Oryctolagus cuniculus: one gene and its partners. The protein of the gene in region 4 purifies or fractionates together with the protein of the main gene of each other region. This does not show direct contact. Links are inferred from orthologs where the notes say so. Each region holds a gene or a part of one and is shown on either strand. Other genes may lie near its edges. The genes, in order: G3BP1, IRF3, ANXA2, TRIM21, ELAVL1, GMPS and FASN.

Region 1 (4,038 bases), on a different chromosome or scaffold from region 4:
TCTCACCCAGGAAGTCAGATTTTTCTCTGAAACATTTTTAATCTTTACTTTTCACAGAATGCTGAAGTACAGCAAACATACTAAAAAGCTATGCAATATTATAAAAAACAACCTTATTTACTAGATCACAGCCTGTGATGAAAAAAATGTTAACTGATTTCTGCTCTGTCAGGCAGACTCTTCATTCTTCGTATGTGGACTACTCCTAGCTCACCACACGACCACCTGGCTTGCAATTTAGCCTTCCCAGTGAGGCCCCAGTGGTGTGTAAGAACGCTTCACAAAAGAAGGGTCAACGAGAAAGCTGACTTTTCAAAAAGATATAAAGCTGGTTAACAGCCACAATGTGATCCCTAACTGTGAGTGAGATTACAGTTGCTGAATCTAAATTTAACTCCAGGACTTGGAAGGACAGTACAGGTTTCCCTCAGCTGACTAGTGGTGGGGGGTGGAAGGACTTTTTTTTTTTTGACAAATGTACTTTGATAATTGTCCTCCTTTGTAAAGTCAATACAATTCTGTCCAAGGAAGTCAAAAAGCACAATGTAATTACATATATACAGATACAGTACCTATTTGAATTCTGTAATTAAAAAAAAAACTATTGTGCAAAAATGTTAAAAGATCAAGTATGCAGTTTTATTATGACAAAAATACTTATTTTAGTAATTGGTCTTATATGAAATTTCAACACCATCACAAATCTATGAAAATTTAAAACTAATCTGTGTTCTTTACTTCCTAAATAAAGTACTGAAATAAATTTTGAAAACCCAAAAGATAAATTAACACGGGTCACAAACAAAATCAAAATCTCCCAATGTCGCCCCCACCCCACCTACCAGCTAAGAGTTAAACAATGACCCACATACTTTTCTACCTGTGAGAAGAGGTACAAAGCTTAGACTGAAAGGACTCAACTCCAAGAAAAGTAACCTATACCTTGATCCAGAAGTGGGGAGACACAGGTATTGTGTTATCACAATTTCTTCAGTTTACCAGTACTAGATAAAAGGCACAAATCAGCAGCTGGGGTACTGATTTGCAAAATAATCACATAGTATTCCAGACCAACAAGACCACTTCTTGCCTGAGGTCAAGAACAACTTTTTTAGTATTTGAAGGTAAAATTTACAAAATTTTCCTCAATACGTAAGATCATTTCATTCTGATATATTTATTTTACCTCAAGCAATAATGTTCACTGAACTCTGTTTAAATGTACGTCATTATCATGTTTGAACATCAGGCGATTTAAATGGTTCACCTTAAATCTTAACATGCTACAAATGCAGGTAACTGGAATTGCTACACAAAGCACGCTGCAAATAAAACAATGTTACATTTTAAAGCAACGTGTTATTTATAGCAACACCAACAAAGGAAGAACTTGTCCCTACAATTATTTTGATCCTTTATTGCTACCTTCTGTTAAGAAACAGGGAAAGCGCCTGTCGTAGAGAAACACAAATATTAAACTTCGTAATTGTTAATCCCTGCACAAGGATGCACGTTGTGTCTGCTTTGACAGCAAAAAAATCCCTTAAAGATCTGAAAAAGGATCTGTAGAAACAAGCTTTACTGAAAAACAAAACAGTGAAAAGCCTTTCAAGAAAAAAAATTAGTCCAAAGAGCTAATCTTCAAACTTTTTTTAGTTCTGCCTGAAGTTCAGGTATTTGCGATGCAAAATGAATGATACGGGCCTGCAACATTAAAAACATTTCACGAGACCAAGGCATTACTAGCTTTCAATAGTCCACAATATGAGAACACTGCTGTAAAAATAAACTCCAGTCCTTGATGGTAAGGAAGGTTTCTTCCACGACCTTGCACACACCCTGGAGCCTTGCGGACTGAACCCTGCAGACACACTTCCAATACCGACAGTGCGCCTCTCAGCCACAGAACCCCCGCAGGATCACGGTTACATTGTAACCGGTGCTATGTCCTCCACTCCAATTTCTAATTTCAACCCACAGGTGCTGGGGACATTCGAATCTCACTGCTCTGGACCTCATTTTCGGCAACTGATTTTCTTAGACGTCCCTTTTTTTCCCCGAAAATCGGCTGATTTAAACAAAAAAGGGAAAAGTCGAATCACAGCCTCACTTCCCGCTGGCGGGACTTTCCCATCACAATGCTGAGAGCTTAAAGCCCGATGAGGAACACACGCACTTATCTGCATTTTACTCGGTCCCCCCGCCCCTCTAATTTTCTCTGAAGCTGCAACGGTACGAATACGTGCAGGCACGAAGCCCAAACACCCCTTCCCTTTGTCGCAGCCCCACTCCCAACCCGAGCCCCTGCAAGCCCATGCGCACTCAGGCCCGGCCGCGCTCCGCGCAGGGGCCTTGCGAAGGGACAAGTGCTCCCGGGGCAAAGGTGCCCTGGACTCGCACCGGCTCAGGGGCCCGGAGCCAGCGAGCCACCCTACCCGCCCTTCCGCCCGTGGGCCTGTGCCTTCGTGCCTCTCCTATTCGAAAGGCGGCCGCGACGGCACCCAGCTCTCCGGGCAGACACCCCGCTCGGCACCGTGCGGGCGGGGAGGACCGCGCATCTCCCCCGTCCCCGCAGGCGCCACCAAGGCGCGGCACTTCTGCTTTGCCAGCTCCGAGACTCTCTCTCATGGCACTTTCGTGCTGTCCCCTCCAAGAAAGCCCCCGATGGCGCGTGGCGGGGGCCGGCGCGCAAAGCCAGCCGCACACGCTCCCGGGCAACGCGGGGACCCCGGGCCCGGGAGGTCACGCCGGGACTCGGAGGGCCGCCGCCACCGGCTGCTCTTGCCCCGCGTGGCCGTTGGACGCGCGCGCGGCGGACGCGGCCACGCGCTCCAGCCGGTGGGGGGGGGGGGGGGGGGGAGGCGGCGCCGCGCGCCCGAACGCCCGCCGCGCGCGCCTGCGGCCGTTGGGGTGGGGGTGGGGGGACGCGCCCCGCGCGGCAGCTCCTCGGGTTTCTCCTCTCTCCCGCCGTCGCCCCGACTCGTCCCCGTCCTCCAGTACCCTGCCCCGCCCACACCCCGGCGTACCTGCGCGGCTGAGTGGGAGAGGAACAAGCCTTGCTCCACCGCACGGAGAGAAGCAGAAATCGCTCACGCAACTGCGTCCGCACACACGCGTGCTCCGCCGCCGGTCTATATAATCGCGACTCAGCCTAACTTGTTGCAGCCAGGCCAGGCGAGTGGATGACCAATCCCGACTGCATCCTCTGGGCTCTTCGAACAGCAATTGGATACTGCCTCATGATGGGGGCGTGGCTCTTGATTGGCTTTGACACATACCTATGAGACTGTGAAGATCTCGTTTCCCTAGTAACGGATTGGCACTCAAAGGGCCCAGTAACTGGAAGGCATAGTAGAGAGGAGGGTGGGAAATTCTTTGACTGATACCCATAGTAGCCAATAAATGCTTGGAGATGCTCTCATTGGCTAGCACTCCATCCCCTGGGTGGAGACCCGTTTTCCGTGCAGGAGCGGTTGCTCCACAAGGTGGGGCCCGTGTACTTTGGGGAAGTAAACCCCAAGCAACTAGGAGGTGGGCAACTTGGAGGCCATGGAAGCACCTGGCCAATGGCAACACCGGAATGAGCTGATTGACATGGGGGTTGAACCGCTCTCCAAAGAGACCGAGGCTCAGGGCGGCCTTGCCCTCCGGGGCGATTAAGAGGCGGGCCGGGCTCCGGCTTCTGTCCTCTTTCTTTCGGTTGTTGGGTCCGGCCCCTGGGGTCTCCCTCTCCCGCCTTTTCCGCACAGTCTGGCACCCAGGAAGCCAAGTGGCAAAGTTTCCCTGAATTTAATTCTTCTCCTTATCAAACTCTTTCATGTCCGCGCGCTGCCTGAGGGCACTTGCTGGCCCTTCCCGTGAGTCAGCACTGCCGGCGAGGCGCGCCCGTTGGGAACGCCGGAGCCCGTGGCTAGGCGGCAGGTGGCGACGGCCGCTGGGCGGGAGGACGCGCGCCCCACGCGGGCTCCGGTCCGACTTGGCCCGCGGCACTGCCGCCGAGGAGCGATCGTTGGGCGGGCTGTGGTCAGCCCGCCGGCC
Region 2 (4,225 bases), on a different chromosome or scaffold from region 4:
CCCGTGCTCGCCTCAGCCCGTCGCCCGCTCACCTGCCACGAAGGGCCCCAGCTCGAACACGCTTCCGTCCTGGTCCTTGGGGACCTCGCCGGCGGGCCCGTGCCCGCTGTTGGGGAGCAGCTCCTCCCCCACGGCCCAGTAGGTGTGGCAGTGCCCCAGCCGCCGGGCACAGAGCCGAGGCCCCAGCTGCCACAGGGCCAGTCCCCCCTCCAGGCTCTGGAGCACGCGTCGCACGTAGCAGCTCACGCTCCCGTCAGACAGGGCCGTCCCGGGGTCCGGCAGGGCAACCGGCTGCCCCGGCAGCGTCCTGGCTGCGGCTTCCGGGCCCACGAGCCGCAGGCCTCCTGGGCAGCAGATGGTCTGCTGGAAGACCTGGCGGCCCCGGTAGAAGGCGGTCACCTCGAACTCCCACTCTGCGGGGCGGCGTGAAGGGCGGGGAGAGAGTGAGGCCCGGAGCCCTGGCCGCGGCCCCTCCCGCCCCTCCGCGGGCACTTACGTTCCTCGGGCACCAGCAGCTGCCTCAGTGGGTTTTCAGGGGGTGCGGGGTGCGGGCAGGGGCCGGGGTGGTCCAGGTGAGGGCTCAGCAAGAGCTGAGGGCAGCACTCAGGGGCCACAGCCCCAGCCCAGGGCCCCTCGTCCGGGCCGGCCGCCAGGCCCATGTCGCCCAGGAGCTGCTCCAGCTCGTCTTCCTGGAGGGACAGACGGAGCTGGGCGCCGCGGCCCTTCCTGGGGACTTCAGCCACGCGGGGACCCCTCGGCCCTCCACGAGCTCCAGGCTGGGGGAGACGCAGCCGCGCCCCTGAGCGCCTGGCAGACGGGGGTCTCAGAGGGGGCGTGTCCCTGGCACAGCAGCAAGGGAGGGGGAGGGGGAGGGGTTGAGGTCTCAAGAGGCTGAGGGCGCCATTATCCGAGGAAAGCTATGAAATCCTGGCAGGGTGGGGTGGGCGCTCCGATGCCCGAGGCTGCCGGACAGCCACAGGGGGCTGGGAGCCGGGGGGGGGGGGGGTGAGGCCAGGCCAGGACGACGGGGAGGGGTGCATGCTCACCTGGCTCTCAGAGGTACTGTCCCCCTGAACTTCGGGAGAGATGTCCCCAGCTCCTGTTGAGAAAGGCGATGGTGGCGGAGGGGTGCTGGGCACCGGACATCCCGGCCCTCCGTGGGGAACCCTGCTCTGGCACACCTGAGGTCACAAACTCGTAGACCTTGTGCGGGTCGTGAGGGTCCTTGCTCCGGTCCTCAGCTAAACGCACCACTTCCTTCCGGTTTAGGGCGGACCGGAAGTTCCTCTTCCAGGTTGGCAGGTCGGGCCTATCCCCGGGAGTATAGGCGCCGCTGGCCTCTGCCCAGGCCTAGGGCACCAGCGGTGCCGGGACACCAGGGAGGAGGATGAGACCCTGCCCTGGGGTCCTCACTTCACACAAGGCTCGCCCCCACTGCAGCCTCTGGCGCCCGGGTTCCATCCCGATTCTCGGATTCCCCACGTGCCCAGCTTCCCTATAATCCAGCCTCACCCCTACACCCTGCCTGCAGCTGTCAAACCCACTGATTCCCACACCAGCCTTCCGGGCCCCGCTGGTGTCTCCCTGCCTCTGCGGGTCCCAGGACAGCCTCAGCTCCGCCCCCGACGCTGTGTATCCTAAGCTGGTGGTTAGGAACCCCAGCTTTGGCCACTCCCAGAATTCAACAATCAAAGCCAGACTCAGCCGGCACCAGAATGCGTTTCCTTGGGGCTCTGGCCCTGATAACTGGAACCGGGCCGCTCCCACACTGCCTGCTCCCCAGCACCAGCCCCCCCACACCCGTCGCCTTAGGAGCAGGTGCCACAGGGCCAAGCCCCTCCCAGCCGAGCACGCGCGCACCTGGAAGATGCCGAAGTCCTGCGGCTGCGCATCCTGCCGCAGCCCGTGCTTCCAAGGTATCCGGAAGCGCTTCCGGTGCTCGTCCACCCACGACACGCCCTCCAGCTGCCCCAGGTCCAGCTGCTGGATCAGCCAGGGCAGGATCCGCGGCTTCTGCGTCCCCATGCTCCCGCCTGCGCGGACAGGGAGGTTCCTGGGCGTGGGCCCTCTCCTGCCCTACCTGGCCCAGGACTTCCACACCCAGGCTCCCTCCACGGGTCGCAGCGTCCCGTAATCGCCTGGTGTACAAACAGGGGGCCTCCTCTCCCATCCTCCGGAAAGACTCCCTGATTCAGCGAGGATTCCAGCCCAGACACACTGTAGACACCCAGCCTCCACGCCCTCGCCTCGGCCAGTGTAGACCTCCCCCTTTTCCTGATCCAAAGCCGGCATCCCCGATTCCACCGCGCTGTGGGCCGCCTTCCACGGTTCCCCCACGAGGGAGCCCCCTACCCGTTTCCAGCGCCGATGCTCGGGCACGACCCCCCGCCCCCGCCAGCGCGCGCGCCCCTCTCCACTCTGGAATGAACTCTTCCGCGTTACGGTCGGGGCGCGCAGGGTGGACGCCCACCGGCCCTGGGCTCCGGGTAGCTCTCAAGCTCGAACTTGCGCAGCTTGTGTCCTGTCAGCTGAGCTTTAGCGCGCCGGGGCTGTCTTTCCTATCGATCTCTTGAAATAAAAGCAATTTCAACATCCTCTAGGTAACAAGTTCCAAAGCCAAAGAGGCCGCCTGCAGCCCAGAGCGTACCCGTCTCGCCCCTTTTCGGTCTTCCGGCCACAGGCATGCTGGGAACGTCATATGCAAATCAGGCGGCACTCAGCGCCCCGCCCCTTCCACGTTGGGGGCGGTTACCCAACCGGCCCAGTGCGCAGGCGCGGGAAAGTTGACCTACTAGAAAAGTTTGTGTGACTTGAGGGAGGCGGCTGCGGCAGCGGGGCGCTGGGCCAGGTGAGTGGGGTGTTGTCCTTGGCTGGGATAAAGTGTGAATCGGGCCGGGACCCTGGAGCGGTACCTCAGCGCCGCTTCTCCGATGTCCCAGGGCCGGGGGTCCCCAACGTGCCAGCGTGGTGGTCGGAACTACATCTCCCAGCAGGCTTCGTGGCAAACACTCCCTTCGCCCCGCGCTCGCCCTCTGCGGGGCCTGCTGGGATTGGTAGTTCCCGGTCCCTTAAGGACGGCTAAGCTTGGCATATGCTAACTTCAGCATGCACGAGAAAGCCCCCTTCCCCTCGCGGACCCCGGAGTCCGGGCCCCCAGCCCCCTCCTCCCTTGGATCTAGGAATCCCAGCCCCGGGCCCCTCCTTTTCCGGGATAAAGCAGTTGGTTCTCATCGCACTTTTCCCTCTGGGGGACTCAAGAGTTTGGGTCCCTCAACCCTGAACCCTCCCCGAGGCCCTCAGCGCCTTCCTCCCTTTGGGGCCCAGGACTCCTGGGCCTCTCTTCATTCAGGGACGGGGGGCTTGGGCCCCAGCCGCCAGCTCCTCAGCCTCCCCTCCCCCAGGTGCCTCCATGGCGGGCTCGGAGGAGCTGGGGCTCCGCGAGGACACGCTGAGGGTCCTGGCTGCCTTCCTCAGGAGGGGCGAGGCTGCCGAGGCCCCCAGCCCCACCCCTCCCAGGTAAGAGGGACCCCCTCTCGCTCTCAGTCCGTCTTTGTCCAGCGAGGGAGAGATCCTCAGTGGGCAGGAACGAGGGACTGTCCCCAGGGGCCCCCCGGGGTCACTCTGAGGTCCCCCTCCCCAGGAACCCCGCCCCGGAGGAGCCGACAGACTTCCTGAGCCGCCTCCGCAGATGTCTTCCGTGCCCCCTGGGGCGAGCAGCCGCCCCCCCTGAGTCCCCTCGGCCTTCCTCCCTGCCCCTCCGCCCCTGCTATGGCTCGGAGCCGGGTAAGCCCTTCCTGACCGCAGGCAGGATGCGGTCCTAGTGCCGGGTTCCGGCTCCGCCCCCCAGTTCTCCGGGTGGACAGCGGGAGCGATCGCGGCCCCCCTGCACCTCTCCCGGTCCACATGGGTCTCGCCCTGTTGGACTGTGCAGCCCCCAGCACCTCCGACAGGGAGGCCGGAGCCCTGGACGCTTTGGCTGCGCAGCCGTGTGACCGTTCCCTTCCTGGTCCAGTGCGGCAGAGGTGGTGCGCAGCCATCCACCTTGCGCCGGCGCGGCCGGCAGAGCTGTGGTCGGTGAGCCCGGACAGCTGGGCGACGCGTGCTGGGATCAGTCCGCAGGTCCCGAGGTGCCCGGGACGAGAAGGGCTTCCCATCTGGGAAGTTTTCTGGATTGTGGAATATTGGTACAAACGTTACTGGTGGCCCATCCACAATCTGGAATCTA
Region 3 (2,295 bases), on a different chromosome or scaffold from region 4:
GGTGGCAGGGGCCCAAGTACTTGGGTCATCTCCTGCTGCCTTGCCAGGTCCTTCAGCAGGGAGCTGGACGAGAAGCAGAGCAGCCAGGACTCGAACCAGTGCCCCCATACATGGGACGCTGTGCTTGTTAAATCCTGCTGCGCCTGGAACGCCGAGGTGCTCCTGGTCTCCAGAAAGGAGTACTTTCACTGTTGTGTTTGCGGTCTCTCTCAGAGCACGACATCAAGAACCGTGCAGTCCTGGGCTCCAGAGAAACCTCCCAGGCTGTGTTTGTGGTGGTGTTGTCAGTGAGTTCACCCCGTGTCGTCCCTTGCACTTTCAGGGCAAGGGGACTCGCGACAAGGTCCTGATCAGAATCATGGTCTCCCGCAGTGAAGTGGACATGCTGAAGATCAGGTCGGAGTTCAAGAGGAAGTACGGCAAGTCCCTGTACTCCTACATCCAGGTGAGGCACCAGGTGCCGGGGTGCCCCGGCGGGTGGCCCGGGCAGAGGCTGGCAGAATCAGGATTTTCTGGCTTCTCCTTCCCTGAGGGGTGGAGCTGCTGGTCAGGAGAAGTCAGGGATTTATTTTGGAAGCACTGTTGATGACCTGCCCCAGGGCCTTGTAGAATCAGGCAAAAAAAAATCTATCTCCTGCCTTTGTCATCCTGTCACCATCATCCTTGTTCATGATGATGATCGCCGACATCCTTAAGACTTAGAAGATTGGTCGTGACTTTGGCTCCGTGGTGCGTGTGCTTGGTGCACAGCCCTCCATGGCAAGCCTGACCACCTGCGCTCTCATGTCCCCATCAGTTCAGGGTCTGTCCCTGCTGGTGGGACGGTGGGATGGGATGTTCCTATAGAAGGAGTGACTGTGTTTGCAGAGCGGGATTGCTTGGTCGGGGGAGGTTCAGACCGGCTCTGCAATCCGGGGTCTGTTCTGAAAGCCTTGGAAGTTTCCAAAGCCATGTCCATGGGTGCCATGGATGAGTCTGGAGGCGGAATGGGTATATCCCCAAGCTGTCAGGGGCAGGGCTAAACTGGAGGGACCAGCTGGGGTCTCAGGAGATGTTTCCTCACCTCCCCAGCTTATATCCACTTGACCTTGAGAATCCATGAAGCAAAGAATGAGGCAGGAAAGGTACCCTTGTCCTGTGTGGAAGAGAGAGGGCGAGGAGGAAAGGGGGGAGGTCTCAGGACCCCTGTGCAGGAAGAGCACTCCACCCCTCCACCTTCGCAGTGTGGTGGGACTCAGATGCCTCCCTGGGGGATGGCTGGCCAGGCCCCAGGCGTTGGGCTTGGTCTCCAGGGCCCCTGTGCTGGGCCAGGACCTACAGACCCTCCCCTGTGCTGGCCCTGGGCCATGCTCCACTGTATGTGGGGGATGCCCAGATATTTCTTTTTGTTGCAGAGTTGGGTCTTTCACTTGATTTATTTTTTTTCTCTTTGGCCATTTGTAGCAAGACACCAAGGGTGACTACCAGAAAGCATTGCTGTACCTGTGTGGTGGAGACGACTGAAGCCCCCCGCAGGAGTGCCCACCAGCCGTGCCACACCTAATGCCTGCTAACAGTGCTAGAAAACCAGCTTGCAGCTAACAGACCCCGTGCCCGCCCCATGCAGGTGGGGCTGGTGCCGCCCCCAGCCCCAACCTTACTTTAGTTGCCTGAGCGTTGCCCGGCTCTGCCCTCTAGTCTCTCCTTTAAGCCAAAGAAAAGAACATTCCAAGGAGTTGGAAGTGAAGTCTGTGATGTGAAACACTTTGCCTCTTGGGCACTGTGTCAACAATAAACTGAATTTTTACTTTAAAAACCAGTATTGTGTTGGCCTTGCTTTCCATTGAGTTCTTTGAAAATCACTCTCCCAGGATCGTGTTGTTCAATGGGTAGGGCCGTCGCCAGGGGAAGAAAGTTCTGGAACACAGCCAGCTGGTGCAGTGGGCACTGTCCGGGGAGGTTATTTAAATGCATTGAAATGAAGTTGAATTCAGAGTTTAGTCCTACAGTCCTGCTGTACTCACGTTTCAAATGCTAGCTAAGCCCCTGCGTGTGGGCCGTGTGGGTACAGAATGCTTCCAAGGCCATAGGAAGTTCTGTTGGGAGCACTGCACCCCCAGGGGATGGAGGGACTGTGGGGAAAGGAAGTCCCACGGCCGTCTCGACTGCTCGTGCTTCTACAGGTAAAGTAGGTGAAGCAACATCAGTGGCTGCTGCTTCTGTTGAGCAAATATTACAAATATCGGGGTACATCACTAGGCACATCCTGCCCCACCCTCAGGAACTCACCTTCAGGGCCAGTACTGTGGTACGGGG
Region 4 (3,218 bases):
TTAGTGGAGGCCATATGTGTTCCCCTGGAAAAGCCAGAAAAACTTGCCCAAGAAAGGGGGAATTTCAGAGAGGAATGATAGCAAACTTGGATGTCCCAGGAGGAGTAGAAGTGTTCCATTTTCCAGGAAGAACGCTGAGAGCTGAGGGCACCCGAGCCTTCACCCTCTATCAGTGACATTCACTGGTCAACCAAGAACATGGACAGAAGCATCTCAGGTCTTTCAGAGATACAGAGAACAGTACCAGCTCTGAGAGCACTTTGTTTCAAACCCAGGAGTTCCCTCTATGTGAAGGGCACCTGCCCTCGGGCAGTGACTGCAATCTCAAAATGCCTTCTATTATCACAGTGGCCACTTGGAGATCAAGAGAGGAAACTCTTACTGGTATCTTCTGCCCAAGACCAAATAATCCAGATGCAGAAGTAGGGAGGGCAGCCCAGGCAGGAAAAAATGTGCAACATTAGATATCTAAGCATACTTTAAAGTTTGTAAAAAAAAAATGGAGTTAAGATACATTTATTTTGGTGCAAAAATTGAAATCCATGCATACTTTTCATATGTATTTTCCATGAACATTTTGAAGGAATGTTGTATATCACTATTAATCAGAGTTGTCAAATATTTCAGGTTTAAGGAACAAGGGCAGAATACAACACAACTGTTTTTAGGAAGCTATTTTACAAACCACCCACAGTATAACAGAGCTCTGACCTAAGATAATAACCTGAAGATGGAGAGGCTAAAACAGGATTTTTTTTTAAAGGTTTATTTACTTGAAAGAGAGTGAGCAAGCTTCTATTTGCTGGTTCACTACCTAAATGGCCGCAATAACTAGAGCTGGGTCAGGCCGAAGCCAGGAGATTTGTCTGGGTCTCCCACATGGGTGCAGGGGCCCAAGGACTTGGCCCTCTTCCACTGCTTCCCCGGACACATTAGCTGGGAGCTGGACTGGAAGTGGAGAAACCAGGATTTGAACTGTGGCTTAACCTTCTATGCTACAGTGCTGTCCCCTAGGACAGAACTTCAGCGACATAAAGGAGGTGGAAACTGGTTCAGGTGAGTTTGGGCTAAATCTGCAGTTTGCTTCACTGGAGGGAATCGGCAATTTAAAGCAGAAATACCCACTTGATATTGGCTTTCAGTGACCTCCCACCCCTGCTAACAACTGCTTCCTGGGATCCCAACACCTCTGCAGAGGCAAAAGTGTCTCAAGCGTTCATGGGCAAAAGAGGCAGGGGCTGCTGCTGGGAGGGGCCCCAATGGGACGAGGGTGTCCATGAAGAGCCCTCAGTAATTGGCGAGTCCAGACTATGCCATCTTCAGTGGACAGAGAGTGAGAGGAGCTCCATTTTTTCCATCATCATTGAAACCAGGACTGAAGAAGGGCCGCAGAGGTCCAGCAAAGTCACAGTCAGAGAAGGTGTAGATCAGGGACCCATGGTCAGTGACATTGTAGAAGGAAACAGTGCTGGCCTCATAGTCCAGGAAGATCCCAACTTGGTATGGAGGTACCCGAAGGTGGAGGGGGGTTGGGGAACAGGTGCCAGCCTCATATTGTTTTACTTTCCACAGCCAAATTGTCCAGAAGCCTCTCTCAGTGTTGAGCACAAAATTCCCCTTCCTCTGCACCGAGGCTCTGCAGACTCCCAGGTCCCAGGCCCTCTTTCCCCTCACACTGACTTCCCAGTAATGCTTTCCAGAGTTGAAGTGCTGGGCACCGAGGACCATTGGATAATTATCAAATCTCTCTTCATTTTTTGGCACATCCTGCCAGGTGTTTGCAAGCCTCACTTGTCTCAGGTCCTCTGAGATGATGAGCTGTGGATTGGCCGTTTGTGGATCCAGAGTGATGTGTACTGCAGAGAGAGCACCACGGTCAGGCCTGGGGTGTGGGAAGTCCTCAGCCTGTGCCTGTAGCAAGGGGATCTGTGTCAATTCCAGGAGGAGGACGAGCGGCCGACCTCCTCAGGTGAGGAACTGACTTCCAGCGAGCCCTGGCCTTGCCCTGGCCTTTGAAGGGATTACCTTCTCTACTCCTATCTCTCCCCCACCTGCCATCTCTCCTCCATACTGCTGTCCATCCTCCCCCATCCTGGGTCTACTCCACACTTTCATCATTCCCATCTGCCCCACACCCACAACTCCCAGAGCTCGCCTCACCGCCACACGTCCTCAGCATCTTCTTCAGCCCCGGCACATGGCACACACTCCTCAGGTCTGGTGAGATGACTTTCAGCTCCTCCAGGCTCCAGGACTCACTCCTGGGGAAAGAGTTTCAGACTCGTCTTCCACTCCTATTACCTACCCGCTCCCCCACCCCAACCATAACACTATGACTTCCTTGGGGATTGTGATAGTTAAGTACAAAACTTATAATTGCCTCTGGGAAGTAGGAATGAGAGGCAAAAATTTCCAGGATTTATCCAGAAATTCCTAGTTATGAAAGTCTTTGCAGCATGTGTCTTCTCTCATGCTTACTTGGTGACCTTGGGCTCCATCTTATCTTACAGGCAAGGTGTCTGATACAGGCTGAATCACATCTATGAGAAGCCTCAAGGAGTCTGGCCATGCTGTAGGTCTGTCTTACAGCTCTTTCGAGGTAGTTTATAACTGGTGTAACTGCTTCTAAAAAAGCAGACCCAGCAGGCTAGAGAAATTCCTAGCCTTTCCCCAGTTGTTGGGGATTTGCTCTGTGAAGATATTATAGCCCAAATCCTCTGGGAAACTTGGCAACTGAGCTATCCATTTGTTAGCCTTCTGAAACCAGAAAGTGCTTAATAGAGGATCTCCTTGAGAACAGGGAGGCAAGCACGGGAAAGTCCAGGGCATGTTTTTCTACCTTTGCCACCCTCTCAGAGGCATATATGATCATATTGCCCCCTCTTTTATTTATTTTATTTTTTAACTTTTATTTAATGAATATAAATTTCCAAAGTACAGCTTATGGATTACAATGGCTTCCCCCCCATAATGTCCCTCCCACCCGCAACCCTCCCCTTTCCCACTCCCTCTCCCCTTCCATTCACATCAAGATTCATTTTCGATTCTCTTTATATACAGAAGATCAGTTTAGCATACATTAAGTGAAGATTTCAACAGTTTGCTTCCACACAGAAACATAAAGTGAAAAATACTGTTTGAGTGCTAGTTATAGCATTAAATCTCAATGTACAGCACACTGAGGACAAAGATCCTACATGAGGAGTAAGTGCACAGTG
Region 5 (4,151 bases), on a different chromosome or scaffold from region 4:
CTGGGTGGAGGACGACAGGCGAGCATGGGCGTGAACGGCCCTGCAGTGCAGACGCAGCTACTACCTGTGGCCCCTTCCCTGCTAATGATATGCTTGCTTGCCCACTCACATACTGAAGTGCTCCTTCTGGGGCTTTCTGGCTTCTCTCAGTGACTGACTCGCTTCCAGGGTCACACTCAGACCCAGAGTCAGCCAGTCTTCTCTCCCTCATGTTCCACACCTCCAAACCCATGAGCCCTGTGTCCTTCCCCCCAGTGTCCCCTCTCTGTCTCAGCACTGCAGCCCTGGATCACATCACCAGCTTTCTGGACCTAAAGCAAGGGTGGGCAATGTCTAGCCCAAGGGCTGTATAAGGCCTGTGAAACCATTTGATCTGACCCTGCCAAGGCAACCACAGGTGGGACTTGAAATCCAATAGTCTATAGCAGGCTAATTTTTAAGTTGATAACTTTGTATTGCTTGTGAATATTATAAACATCTAAATGGACCTTTGTGGGGGGAAAAAAAGGTCCCTCACCCATGCTCTAAAGGAAACCAACTGTCCCCTAATTGGTTTTCTGACGTTGAGCTCTGCCCACCTCCAGCTTTTTCTGGGCGGGACAAAGCTCTCTGTGTGCAGAATGACTCCCTCTGTGACCAACACTGCTCAGTAGTGTCCCAGGCCTGCCACAGAGGGTGGCAGCCAAACCCTCTGCCCGCAAGTGGCAGCAGTAGCCCCGCCACGGCTCCCTTCACCCTTCCTGCCCTAAAGTCCCAGACCCTATGTGTACCTGGACAAGCTGAGACAGGCCCCATCCATGCCCAAGCCCCTCCCCCTGGCTAACTCCTCCTCACCTCTCTCTCTTCATCTCCTCCAGCAGGCAGTCTGGGCTGTCTGTGCCCACCTCGGCTTGGGTTAACAGCTCCCTCTTCTGTGGCCTCTGTGTCAGCCAGAGCCTAATTGTCACAGCATTGGCTAGTGAGCTGAGATGATCCACACACACACACACACAGTGTACATCATCATCTCCCCAGAGCCTAGCACAGGGCCCAGGACGCAGTGGCACAGGGAAAGTTATTCAAAGGAGAGAAACAAGACTCACTTCCCCTCTACCCGCTGGTTTCCTTGTCTTCTGACCCACAGCCTCCTGTCGGGCCTGCCGTTTCAGGCCTGCCACCTAGGGGCGGAAGGAGGGCACTGCGCTTCTCTCACCATTCAGCGGTGAATTCCATAAATTGAATGGGAAGGGCAAGTTGATGCCGGTGCGGGGCGAAGGAACGGGGAGTGGGCTCTGAGCTGGGGCATGGAGCACAAGGAAGTGATCCTTAGCTGGAAGACAGTGGCATCTCCCAGGCAGAGAGCGCGACAGCAGGGAGGCCTGGACTCTGGGGCACTGGTACAATGATGTCAGGAAGGGAGGGAGGGCTGAGTGTGAAAGAACAGGCAGCCAAGCCTAAGGAGCCCTGATTTTTATCCTTTAAGTCACCTGAAGAGGCCAAGAAAATTTGTTTTTCAGGTCAAAAATTTGCAATCAGGAGTGGCACTGCCGGACCTGCCCTGACAGAAGACAGTTGGCAAGGGAGTGTGGAAAGCCAACTTTGCTAGACATGGCAGCAGGGAGCAAGAACAGCCGCGAAGCAAGCAGCAGAAGCCAGGAATTTCTTAACCGGCTCATTTTCCCCTTGCTGCGCTATGGCCTCAGACTCAACACAGCTAAAGTAAAACTCTGCTCCCTCAAAACCAGTGCTTCAACCTCAACACAATTTCCTTGCACACTTAGAGATGTTAGGCTTCTCAGTCTCTCCATGGACCTCAAAATGGTAGTTTTAAAGCAGGTATCAGGCCAGAGCTTGGCCTGTGGCGGTTCGATGACAGCTGAATGGAATCCCCAGAAACACCACCTGCTGGGCCCCTGTGGTTAAGATTGAGTCTGAGAGCCTGAATTCAAACCCCACCTTGGCCACATTAGCAGAAGAGCACATCAGGCCACGCAGCTGAACCTCGGTTTCTGCATCTCTAAAATGGAAATTACAACAGCACCTACCTGGAGGGCTGGAGTCAAGCACAGTCAGTTCTCAATAAACCCTGGCGCTGACTCCTGCCAGGCGCCAGGCCACGCACAACGCTAGGGGGGCCAGCACCATACCGCCTTCCTCACTATTCTGTAGCTAAAGCCCAACACAGTTCATCTCAAGGTCTTGGGAACACCTCTCAAAGGATCAGAGAGAGGGCTGGAGGAACTTTTCCTGGAAGATCAGACACTTTAGTGAGACAGCAAGAGAGACCCCACCCCCTGGGGGGGAAGGCATCTGGCAATGTCTGGAGACATTTTGGATGCTTGCGCTGGGGGAGGGGAGAGGCGGGGTCGCTAAAGGGTAAAAGCCAGGGATGCTCTCAACTCCCCACAACGCACAGAGCAGCCCCGGCCAACCAAGACCTGACCCCAACCATCCCGAGTGCGGACGCTGCGGAGTCAATCCCATCCCCATTTCTGGAACACTGGCCGTCCAAATCCCACGTGAGGACTCACTCAGCGGGAGATGCGGCGGCGGCTCTGTCCCTCCAGGGACGGCCGTGCCCAAGTTCCTCTCCACCTGCCGGGCACACAGTAGGTATCAAAGACCGTTTTAATAAGCCTCGCCACAGCGGGCACCGGAAAAGGAGGGACGAGCATCCATCCATTGTTCAACTGCGTGCAGTTTCGTGTTCTAAACACACACACATTTTACAAAAACAAACGTCCCACGCCCCACGAACAGCTTTGTTAAGAGATGGCGCTCAAAAAAAATACGTTTTTTCCGCCTCAAGGGCTCCCCTGCAGATCAAGGGGTTTGCACACTTATAAAAGGGCCGCGGGCCGGCCGCCGGTCCTCTGACAACGGCCACAAAAGAATCTGTGGGATTTCCCAGGGGAGCGAGCCGGTGGGCCGTGACCTCTGCGCGCTCAAAGCGTTCTCCTCACTCCCCCGCCCCCGGATCCCGGGCTTCCAAGGCTACCGGAGCCGCGGCCGCGGAGCCCGGCCCCCAGGCGCGTGCCCACGCCGCGTTCCCCTCGCGGCGCCCCAGGAATCCGGCCCGGGGCCTGCCGCCGGCGCCCACATTGGCCAGCCCCCGCCCGCCCCGCCCGGCGCGGCCCGCGCGCGTCCCCTCCAGGCCCCGGCGCGGCCTGGGCCTCGACCGGTGCAGGCCCGCGGGCGCCCGCGGCCAGGCCAGGCCAAGCGAGCGCAGGCCTGCCGCGGCCTACCCTGCCGGGCGCCTCCAAAAGCCCCCCTGCTTCACCTGGTCGCGGGCGGGCGGGCCCGGGGCTGCTCCGGGACGTGCGGGCGGCGGCTGCGGCGAGGCGCTAACGGCTCCGCTCGGCCTCGGTAGCGGTGGCGGCGGCGGCAGCGACGGCGACGGCGGCGGCTCCTCCTCAGCGCGCACGACCCGCTCCGGCCCGCGGCCCGGACACGCCCCCCCGGCGCGCGCGCCTATTGGTCTGCGTCCGCCACGGCGCGCCGCTCATTGGCAGGCTTGGCTGTCGCTGCGCTCCGGGGCGCGCGGAGGAGGCGGGACTTCCGGTAGGCGCCGCCTGCGAAGGCTCAGAGGCCGGCGGAGACGCGGGTGGCCAGCGATGGCCGCGAAGGGGGCGAGTAGGGGCCTAGCCCAGGAGGCCGACTCGAGGTGGTGGGCGAGGAGCGGCGTTCCTTGTCGAGCACTTGCCTTGTGCCTCACACCTGTCTGCCTCGCTGCAGCTGCCGCCCAGCAAGGTAGGAAGGGTCGGCGGGCCTTGGCTGTGGGGAGAAGACCCGGGTTCGAATCCCGGCCCGGACGTTGCCCACTGCTGCCGTTGGCCAGGGGCTGACGTCACCTCGCCAGGCCTCAGTTTCCTGATCTTGCACGGTGGGGAGGCGGGACAAGGGAAGTGGTGAAGTGCTCCAGCAGGGCTGGCTGTTAGGGCCTCACGTTTCTTCACTTAAGTTGTACTGAGCACCTGCTGTGTGTGCCAGTCCCTGTAGGGGCAGTGAGTGGACAAAAATGCATGCTATGAGAAAACCATGCATGGATTTCAAGACATTTCGCGCCAAAATAAACTTACCTCTCAATTCCACTTTCCCACCTCTTGTTTTGAGATACCCCCTGTATGCAAGTCACAGAGGATAATTAAAAAAAAATTTTTTTTCCAATAGCT
Region 6 (3,500 bases), on a different chromosome or scaffold from region 4:
CCACTGAAATACGACTTAGTATCCTTCCACCTCTCTCCCATGGAATGACTCACTACTGCTTTTAAGCAAACATTTATCTGTAAGATATGAAGATGCACTGCAAATACTACTAAAAGTAGGGTTTGGAATATAACTTGAGGACATGAAGATCAATTAAGAAAATTCAAACTTGAGATGAATTTTGTCCCTGATTGGAGAGATCTGTTTCACAATCTTCACCCCAATAATAAGAGGGAGCCAGGGGAGATTTAGGAGTGCTACCTAGCTTTCTCTATTCTTACCTCCAGCCAGTAGACAACTGTCCCTTTTCCTTAACCCTATTATTAGAAGGGCAAATAAGTCTTTCCTAGTAACTACCATGGTAAAGTTTAATGTTTTTTTTCTTTCTTACTAAGTACTTGGAATGAAATATATACAAAATAAAACAGCATTAGCTCAACACCAGCACTATCACCAATTACTTGATTGCCTCCTTCCAAACATACTGTAACAGAGGAAGGTTCCTATCCCAGGCATGGAAATTCAGGCATGCTTCTTCTAAAGACACATGCAGTTCCTACAGCTCATAAATGATCCTTCACGAGATTAGATAATGATTACTTCAAGAGAATGCCATGCATCTGCTCTTTTTGCCTTTAAAACAAGAATGATCACTAGGGAACAAATAGTCATGCACATTGAAAAGGACATTTAACTGGAAGAGTCCCTCTCTGTACAAAGATTCTCTCAACTCTATTAAGAGGGAAAATGGGAAAAGTTCTAACTTCCAAAAGATTCTGGGCAAAAACAAATCTACAACCTTTCCACTAAGATTTTTGAAGAGATTGCTAGGTTCATATTTTTAAATCCATCCTTTTTTGCTGGTTATTAGGCTTTGTTTTCTTTTTTGAGGAGGGAGTATGGGATGGGGGAATGAAAATGGAAGGCAAAAAAGAGGCAAATAATCATATAAAAGATCAGAAATAAAAATCTGAACAAAGGAAGTACCTTTTGGCTAAACTAAAAGAAATAAAACTGTAAGAATGTAAAATGAAAATCATGCTATCATATAATTAAAATTTAGTTAAACTTAGGGAAGGAAACTTTCTGTATGACATGCAAAGTTTATACAGTAAAATTAACATTCTTCAGAAGATGAATCAAGAATCACTTTTTTAACAAAGACAATTATTTCCATCAAAAATGGGCAATTACAAATTGACCATTTTGTACAATATATTTTTTTTCAGTACATGAAACATGCTTCTGCATTAGATCCACTAAGTCTTTTAATAGGCATGTTCTCATCAGTAAAAACTTGGTTTCCCTGTGTCTCCTTTTCTCTAACTACACAGACTCTACTAGGTTAATAATAACAGATAGGTTTCTAATTTCTGCAGCATATGTGAATAAAATGAGATCTTTTTTTTTTTTATTTTTTTTTTTATTTTTTTTATTTTTTTGACAGGCAGAGTGGACAGTGAGAGAGAGAGACAGAGAGAGAAAGGTCTTCCTTTGCCGTTGGTTCACCCTCCAATGGCCGCCGCTGCAGCCGGCGCACCGTGCTGATCCGATGGCAGGAGCCAGGATCCAGGTGCTTTTCCTGGTCTCCCATGGGATGCAGGGCCCAAGCACCTGGGCCATCCTCCACTGCACTCCCTGGCCATAGCAGAGAGCTGGCCTGGAAGAGGGGCAACCGGGACAGAATCCAGCGCCCCAACCGGGACTAGAACCCGGTGTGCCGGCGCCGCAAGGTAAAATGAGATCTTAAGTAATTCTTTTTGGCTTTTTAACTACTTAACAACTATTAAAAACTGAAGAGGGTAAGCAACTGTGAAAAAAGAATAATTTGCAATCTGGTACTAAACAAGAAAGATTTTTTAACTGTATATGGGCCAATAGAATGAAGTATCAGGAAAAGATTATGAACCAGCTGTTATACCCAACATAAGCAATTAATGAACAAGTTAAATTGGATTTGAAACTGTGTAAGTAACCTGTAAACACAGGTACTTCAATACTATCTGGCATCTACTTATTTCTTTGACTTTCTCTGGGAATACTATTTAAATTTATCTCTATTTTGAATTCTATGATCTGTATAAATTTCTGTCAATCCTCAGGCATAAAACTTATTATAAAACTATTAGCTAACATAAGTCACTTATTTAAAATACATATTTCAAAGCTGTCTTTAATATTTTTATACCAGGGCCAGCATTATGGCCCAGTGGGCTAAGCTAACGTCTGTGATGCTAGCATCCCACATGAGTATCAGATCAAGTCCCAGCTGCTCCACTTCTGATCCAGCTCATAGCTAATGCACCTGGGAAAGCAGCAGAAGATGCCCCAAGTGCTTGGCCCACTGCCACCGACATCACACACCTGGGTAGATCCAGGCTCCTGGCTTCAACCTGGCCCAGCCCCAGCCCCAGCTGTTGTGTCCATTTGAGTAGTGAACAAGATCTTTCCCTCTCTCTAACTCTGCCTTTCAAGGAAAATAACCAATTTTTAAAAAACAGATTGTGATGAAAGATCAAATACAAAATGATATTAAATATCTGATTAACTATGTTCAAAGTGCGTATCTGAACTGTAAATGGAGTGATTCACTCTTATAAAATATCATCTAATTATATCTACACTTAAGCCTCTGGGTCTCTCATTAACGGAAGAACTTAAAAAATCAAATCCTTGGGGCCTGCGCTGTGGAATAACGGGTTAAAGCCCCAGCCTGCAGTGCCAGCATCTTATATGGGTGCCAGTTCAAGTCCCAGCTGCTCCTCTTCCAATCTAGCTCTCTGCTATGGCCTAGGGAAAGCAGTAAAAGATGGCCCAAGTCCTTGGGCCCCTGCACCCACGTGGAAAATCCAGAAGCAGCTCCTCGCTCCTGGGTTTGGATCAGCTCAGTTCTGGCCGCTGCAGTCATTTGTCGAGTGTACCAGCAGAATGGAGACCTCTCTCCTTTTCTCTGGCTCTACCTCTCTCTGTAACTGTCTTTCAAATAAATAAGAAAACAAATCCTTGGGGCTGGCGTTATGGTGTAGTGAATAAAAACAACTGTGATGCCGGCATCACATATGGGCACCAGTTCATGTCTCAGCTACCCCACTTCTAATCCAGCTCCCTGCTAAAGGCATAAGGAAAGTAGCAGAAGATGGCCCAAGTGCTTAGGTCCTGGCTATCCACATGGAAGACCCAGATGAAGCTCCTGGTTCTTGGCTCTGGCCTGGCCCATCATTGGCCATTATGACCATCTGGGTAGTCAACCAGCAGATTACAGATCTCTATGTCCCTCCTTCTAACTCTTTCAAATAAATAAATCTTAAAAATGAAAATTCCTTCCATTACACTCATACACCTCCCATTTCCTACAGACACACCTGTTAATATTGTGACACATGCGAGGTATAAGCCTCGCCAAGAAAATAAGAGATTCCCAGTCAGGCTCATCTTTACTGGAGATTCCACACACATAACTGTAGGAACGACAGTCACCCTGAAAACAGAAATATAATCAA
Region 7 (3,500 bases), on a different chromosome or scaffold from region 4:
TGTCTGGGGGCGGCAGGAGCGAGGCTGCCACGGGCCTCCTGGCCGGGGTCCCCATCCTCCTGCTCAGCCCGCCCCTCAGGCAGGGAGCCCGCGAGGGCCGGGGGCTCACCCTGCTCCAGCGGGAAGTGGCGGAAGGCGCCCCAGGCCCCGTCCCGATGCACGTTCATCACCAGGTCCCCCCGCAGCACCTCCCGCAGCTCCGCGGACTCGGGGCCCAGGGCAGGCGCGGGCGACTTGCTGCTGAGGTTGGACAGCAGGACGCACCTGTGGGCGGCAGGGTGTGAGGGCCGTGGGGGCGGGGCCGTGGGGGCGGGCGTGGCGTGGGGGGCGGGCGTCTCTCACCGAATCCGGTGCCCGCCGGGCTCTTTGCGGAGGCAGTTCACCAGGCCCACGACGCCCGAGGTGGCGCAGTCCACAGCCGTCAGCCACACGGGCCGGGAGGAGTCCTCGGCCAGCACGTCCTGCGGGACAAGGCGGGGTTGGCCTCTGGGAGGGCCACGGGCTGTGCTGGGTGGGGGCCCAGGCCCAGGCCCAGACCTTCAGAGAGTCCACCCATCGGAAGCTGGCGTCCTCCACGGGCAGGAAGATGGGGCTGTCCTGGGGGCTGGGCCGGCGGCACAGGAACAGGGCGGAGCCGTAGAAGGAGGTCTTCAGGCCCACGACGTGCAGCGCCGCCTCCGCGAACAGGCGCTCCCACTCGTCCTGCGGGGGGCGGGGTCAGCGCCGGCTGGCCTGGCCCCGGCCCCCCCCCAGCCTGGCCCCGGGTCCCACCTTGGTCAGGAGGCTCGGCCCACGCTGAGGCTCGGAAGAGGCGAGGAAGGCCAGGGTCTCGCCGAGGGCGTGTCCCCGCAGCAGGGTGTGCAGCAGTAGGAAGCCGCCTTCCTTGACGGCGGCCGCCATGTTGCGCAGGGCGGAGGCCGGGTCCCCGAGGCTGGCCACGGCACAGTTGCACACCAGGAGGTTGGCTGTGCCCAGGCTGCCGGGAGCAGGGCCCGCGGGGTCCCACTGGGCCTGGCCGACGTCTCGCTGCTGCAGCTGCGCCTCGGCCGCCTGCAGGGCCTGGCTGTCGCGGTCGGTGGCGGTGTACTCCAGCTGCAGCATGGGCTGCGTGTTGAGCAGCTCTGGGATGCGGGCATACAGGTGGCCCTCCCCGGCCAGCACCTGGCATGGAGGCAGCTTCCTGAGCCAGCGACCCTGCTGGCCACCCTGCCTGCCTGCTCTCCTCAGGGTCCCCTGCCCGGAGCCCCAGGCCCCTTGCACGCCCGCACCCCAGCTCTGGCCCTGCCTGCCTGCCGTGCCGGGGTGTCTTCCGGCCGCAGCGCAGCGCGCCGGAGCAGGTGCAGCACGTGTGTCCTCACAGAGGCTGCCCTGGCCCTGGGCTCCCTGGCACGGCCCGTTGCTGGCCCAGCACCCACCTCCACCACCTTCATCCTGAGGCTGGGCAGGTTCTCCAGGGCTGTGTCCACGCAGGCCTTGAGCGCCGGAGAGTCCAGGAGGCCGCTGAGCAGCGGGTCCTCGGGCAGCCCCGGCCGCTCCCGGGCCAGCGCCTGGCCCAGCTCCCGCTGCAGGCTGCCGTTGAGCTGCAACTGGCAGGCGGTCGCCAGCAGGCGGGGCAGGGCCTGCTGAGGGGGCTCCTGGGGGGCCGGGGACCCGTCCAGCCCCGGCACGGCCATTTTCAGCCCCTGCTGGGCCACCCTGGTCTGCAGCACCTGCGCCAGCCCTGGGAGAAGAGACAGACCGATGCCCCCAGAGCCCGCCTGTGGGCCTCCCTGCAGGACAGGCACACAGCGGACAGCCCGGAACGGCCACTGCCTGCCTCCCCCAGGGCGTGTGCGGGTGGGGGCACAGCCAGGGAGGGGCTGAGTGTGTCCTCTGCCCCCGCTCGGTCAGCGGGCCTCACCCTTGCACAGCTGCAGCTCCTCCTGCAGGGCGGCGCTCTCCGACAGGCAGGCGCCCTCCACGTGGGGCACGAAGCAGAACTTCTCCAGGGTGGGCACCAGCTGTTCCTGCTGCCGCCGGGGGGCCGCGGAGGTGTGGAGGCCGGCGATGTGGGCTCCGCCGGCCACGATGGTGCCCAGACAGCTGTCCACCACCACGTCCGCCGCTGCGGGGACAGGCGGGTGAGCCCAGGGCCCCCCGGGGGCGCGGGGCAGGGTGTGGGGCGGACGCGGGCGGGGCGGGGCAGGGGTACCTCGGGCCTCGCCCTGCAGCGCATACACCTTGCGCAGGTGGGTGGCGGGGTCGATACGCAGGAGCGTGAAGCGCGTGGGCAGGCGCAGGCTGCGCTGGCTGTGGCCCAGGATGGACACTTGCAGCATGGCGTCCAGGAAGGTCACCCAGCTGTCCTTCCACAGCAGCTGGCCGGAGGTGCCTGCAGCAGAGGGGCCGGGCGCCACATGGTCTCTGAGCCCCTCTGCAGCCCGGCCAGGGCACCCGGAGCCCAGCCCACCTTCGAGGCTGGCCTCGACGACACCCTGGAAGTGGGGGCCGTAGTCGTAGCCACGCAGCCGCAGCTCCTTGTACACGTCGCCCTGGGTCAGCCGGAAGGCGGCAGAGGCGTCCGCGGGACTCAGGCCTTCTGGGCGCTCGAAGAGCTCGGGGTTCGGGTCCTCCCACTGGTATATCTTCCCTGCGGGTGGGCGGCAGACGGGCCTGAGTGGGCTGGGGCAGGGCCGTCCAGCTGTGCCCCGAGCTGGGACCCCACTCACCGCTCACGATCAGGTTGCCGTTCTCAGACACCTCAAAGGCACGGGAGGCCTCCAGGAGCCGCACCTCCAGCGGCACGGTCCCTGTGGAGCAGCGGAGTCAGGTTCAAAGGTCAGAGGTCAGCGGGCCCCGCCCCTCAGTGCCCCAGCCTCTGCCAGGGGCCTCACCAGTCTTGGGCAGGATGGTGGCCTGGTGCAGGGTCACGTCCTCGAACACCACGGCCATCTGCTCCATGGCCAGGCCCAGGCTGCGAGCCAGGGTCTTCCAGGCCAGGCACAGGTAGCCGGTGCCGGGGAAGATGACGCGGCCGTCAATGCGGTGGTCCACCAGGTAGTGGTCGGGGGACTCGGGGCTGGCGTCTGCGGGCAGGCACAGGTCTCAGAACCAGCGCACCAGGGCCCAGCCGCAGCTCCCCAGCGCGGGGCCCGGCTCACCGATGTTGTAGACGGTGGCGGAGGAGGAACTGGAGCCATTCGGGAAGTCCTCGGCGGCGGGCACGTCCCAGCTCTGGCTGTGGTCCCACTTGATGTGGGGGGAGATGAGAGGGGTCCCTCGGGGGGCCGGGAACTCCACCGGCGGGAACAGGGCGTTGGGGTCGACGTCGATGCTGCCAAGGGGACGGGGGCGTGAGCGGCTGGCCCGGCCTGCTCGGGGGCTCTCGGGGGCGGGCGGGCGGGCGGGGACCTACCCGGTGAGGTGCAGCTTGCCCAGGCTGGTAAGCAGGAACTCCAGGTTGTCCCTGTGGTCTTTCTTCATCAGGGGCAGGATGGTGCAGCTGGACTTGAGGCCCCGCT

What was found.
Region 1: the proteins of TRIM21 (region 4) and G3BP1 purify together in Homo sapiens (affinity purification with mass spectrometry; 3 studies listed by BioGRID, with this or other methods). This does not show direct contact. The link is inferred for Oryctolagus cuniculus from reciprocal best matches to the Homo sapiens genes TRIM21 and G3BP1.
Region 2: the proteins of TRIM21 (region 4) and IRF3 purify together in Homo sapiens (affinity purification with western blotting; 3 studies listed by BioGRID, with this or other methods). This does not show direct contact. The link is inferred for Oryctolagus cuniculus from reciprocal best matches to the Homo sapiens genes TRIM21 and IRF3.
Region 3: the proteins of TRIM21 (region 4) and ANXA2 purify together in Homo sapiens (affinity purification with western blotting; 3 studies listed by BioGRID, with this or other methods). This does not show direct contact. The link is inferred for Oryctolagus cuniculus from reciprocal best matches to the Homo sapiens genes TRIM21 and ANXA2.
Region 5: the proteins of TRIM21 (region 4) and ELAVL1 purify together in Homo sapiens (affinity purification with western blotting; 3 studies listed by BioGRID, with this or other methods). This does not show direct contact. The link is inferred for Oryctolagus cuniculus from reciprocal best matches to the Homo sapiens genes TRIM21 and ELAVL1.
Region 6: the proteins of TRIM21 (region 4) and GMPS purify together in Homo sapiens (affinity purification with western blotting; 3 studies listed by BioGRID). This does not show direct contact. The link is inferred for Oryctolagus cuniculus from reciprocal best matches to the Homo sapiens genes TRIM21 and GMPS.
Region 7: the proteins of TRIM21 (region 4) and FASN purify together in Homo sapiens (affinity purification with western blotting; 3 studies listed by BioGRID, with this or other methods). This does not show direct contact. The link is inferred for Oryctolagus cuniculus from reciprocal best matches to the Homo sapiens genes TRIM21 and FASN.

Annotation. Positions count from the first base shown.
Region 1 is NC_091437.1:38,749,060-38,753,097, reverse strand, and holds the start of G3BP1 (ras GTPase-activating protein-binding protein 1), read right to left. Parts: upstream 2,801-4,038; 5' UTR 1-2,800. UniProt on the Homo sapiens protein: Protein involved in various processes, such as stress granule formation and innate immunity. Plays an essential role in stress granule formation.
Region 2 is NC_091449.1:7,838,213-7,842,437, reverse strand, and holds the start of IRF3 (interferon regulatory factor 3), read right to left. Parts: upstream 2,801-4,225; 5' UTR 2,685-2,800; coding exon 2,648-2,684; exon of another isoform or gene 2,353-2,647; intron 2,315-2,352; exon of another isoform or gene 2,171-2,314; coding exon of another isoform or gene 2,034-2,170; coding exon 1,861-2,033; intron 1,351-1,860; coding exon 1,182-1,350; intron 1,100-1,181; coding exon 1,047-1,099; intron 777-1,046; coding exon 497-776; intron 414-496; coding exon 33-413; intron 1-32. Other genes in the region: BCL2L12 (bcl-2-like protein 12), read left to right, coding at 3,410-3,516, 3,641-3,783.
Region 3 is NC_091443.1:83,261,075-83,263,369, reverse strand, and holds the end of ANXA2 (annexin A2), read left to right. Parts: intron 1-322; coding exon 323-445; intron 446-1,443; coding exon 1,444-1,503; 3' UTR 1,504-1,795; downstream 1,796-2,295. UniProt on the Homo sapiens protein: Calcium-regulated membrane-binding protein whose affinity for calcium is greatly enhanced by anionic phospholipids. It binds two calcium ions with high affinity. May be involved in heat-stress response.
Region 4 is NC_091432.1:62,646,944-62,650,161, reverse strand, and holds the end of TRIM21 (E3 ubiquitin-protein ligase TRIM21), read right to left. Parts: intron 2,262-3,218; coding exon 2,161-2,261; intron 1,857-2,160; coding exon 1,309-1,856; 3' UTR 501-1,308; downstream 1-500. UniProt on the Homo sapiens protein: E3 ubiquitin-protein ligase whose activity is dependent on E2 enzymes, UBE2D1, UBE2D2, UBE2E1 and UBE2E2.
Region 5 is NW_027208201.1:4,186,157-4,190,307, forward strand, and holds the start of ELAVL1 (ELAV-like protein 1), read right to left. Parts: upstream 2,801-4,151; 5' UTR 2,663-2,800; coding exon 2,511-2,662; intron 937-2,510; coding exon 835-936; intron 1-834. UniProt on the Homo sapiens protein: RNA-binding protein that binds to the 3'-UTR region of mRNAs and increases their stability.
Region 6 is NC_091435.1:125,038,502-125,042,001, forward strand, and holds part of GMPS (GMP synthase [glutamine-hydrolyzing]), read right to left. Parts: intron 3,479-3,500; coding exon 3,363-3,478; intron 1-3,362. UniProt on the Homo sapiens protein: Catalyzes the conversion of xanthine monophosphate (XMP) to GMP in the presence of glutamine and ATP through an adenyl-XMP intermediate.
Region 7 is NC_091448.1:881,253-884,752, reverse strand, and holds part of FASN (fatty acid synthase), read right to left. Parts: coding exon 3,395-3,500; intron 3,314-3,394; coding exon 3,141-3,313; intron 3,066-3,140; coding exon 2,874-3,065; intron 2,790-2,873; coding exon 2,709-2,789; intron 2,630-2,708; coding exon 2,450-2,629; intron 2,372-2,449; coding exon 2,192-2,371; intron 2,105-2,191; coding exon 1,901-2,104; intron 1,721-1,900; coding exon 1,416-1,720; intron 1,162-1,415; coding exon 772-1,161; intron 703-771; coding exon 538-702; intron 462-537; coding exon 343-461; intron 265-342; coding exon 110-264; intron 4-109; coding exon 1-3. UniProt on the Homo sapiens protein: Fatty acid synthetase is a multifunctional enzyme that catalyzes the de novo biosynthesis of long-chain saturated fatty acids starting from acetyl-CoA and malonyl-CoA in the presence of NADPH.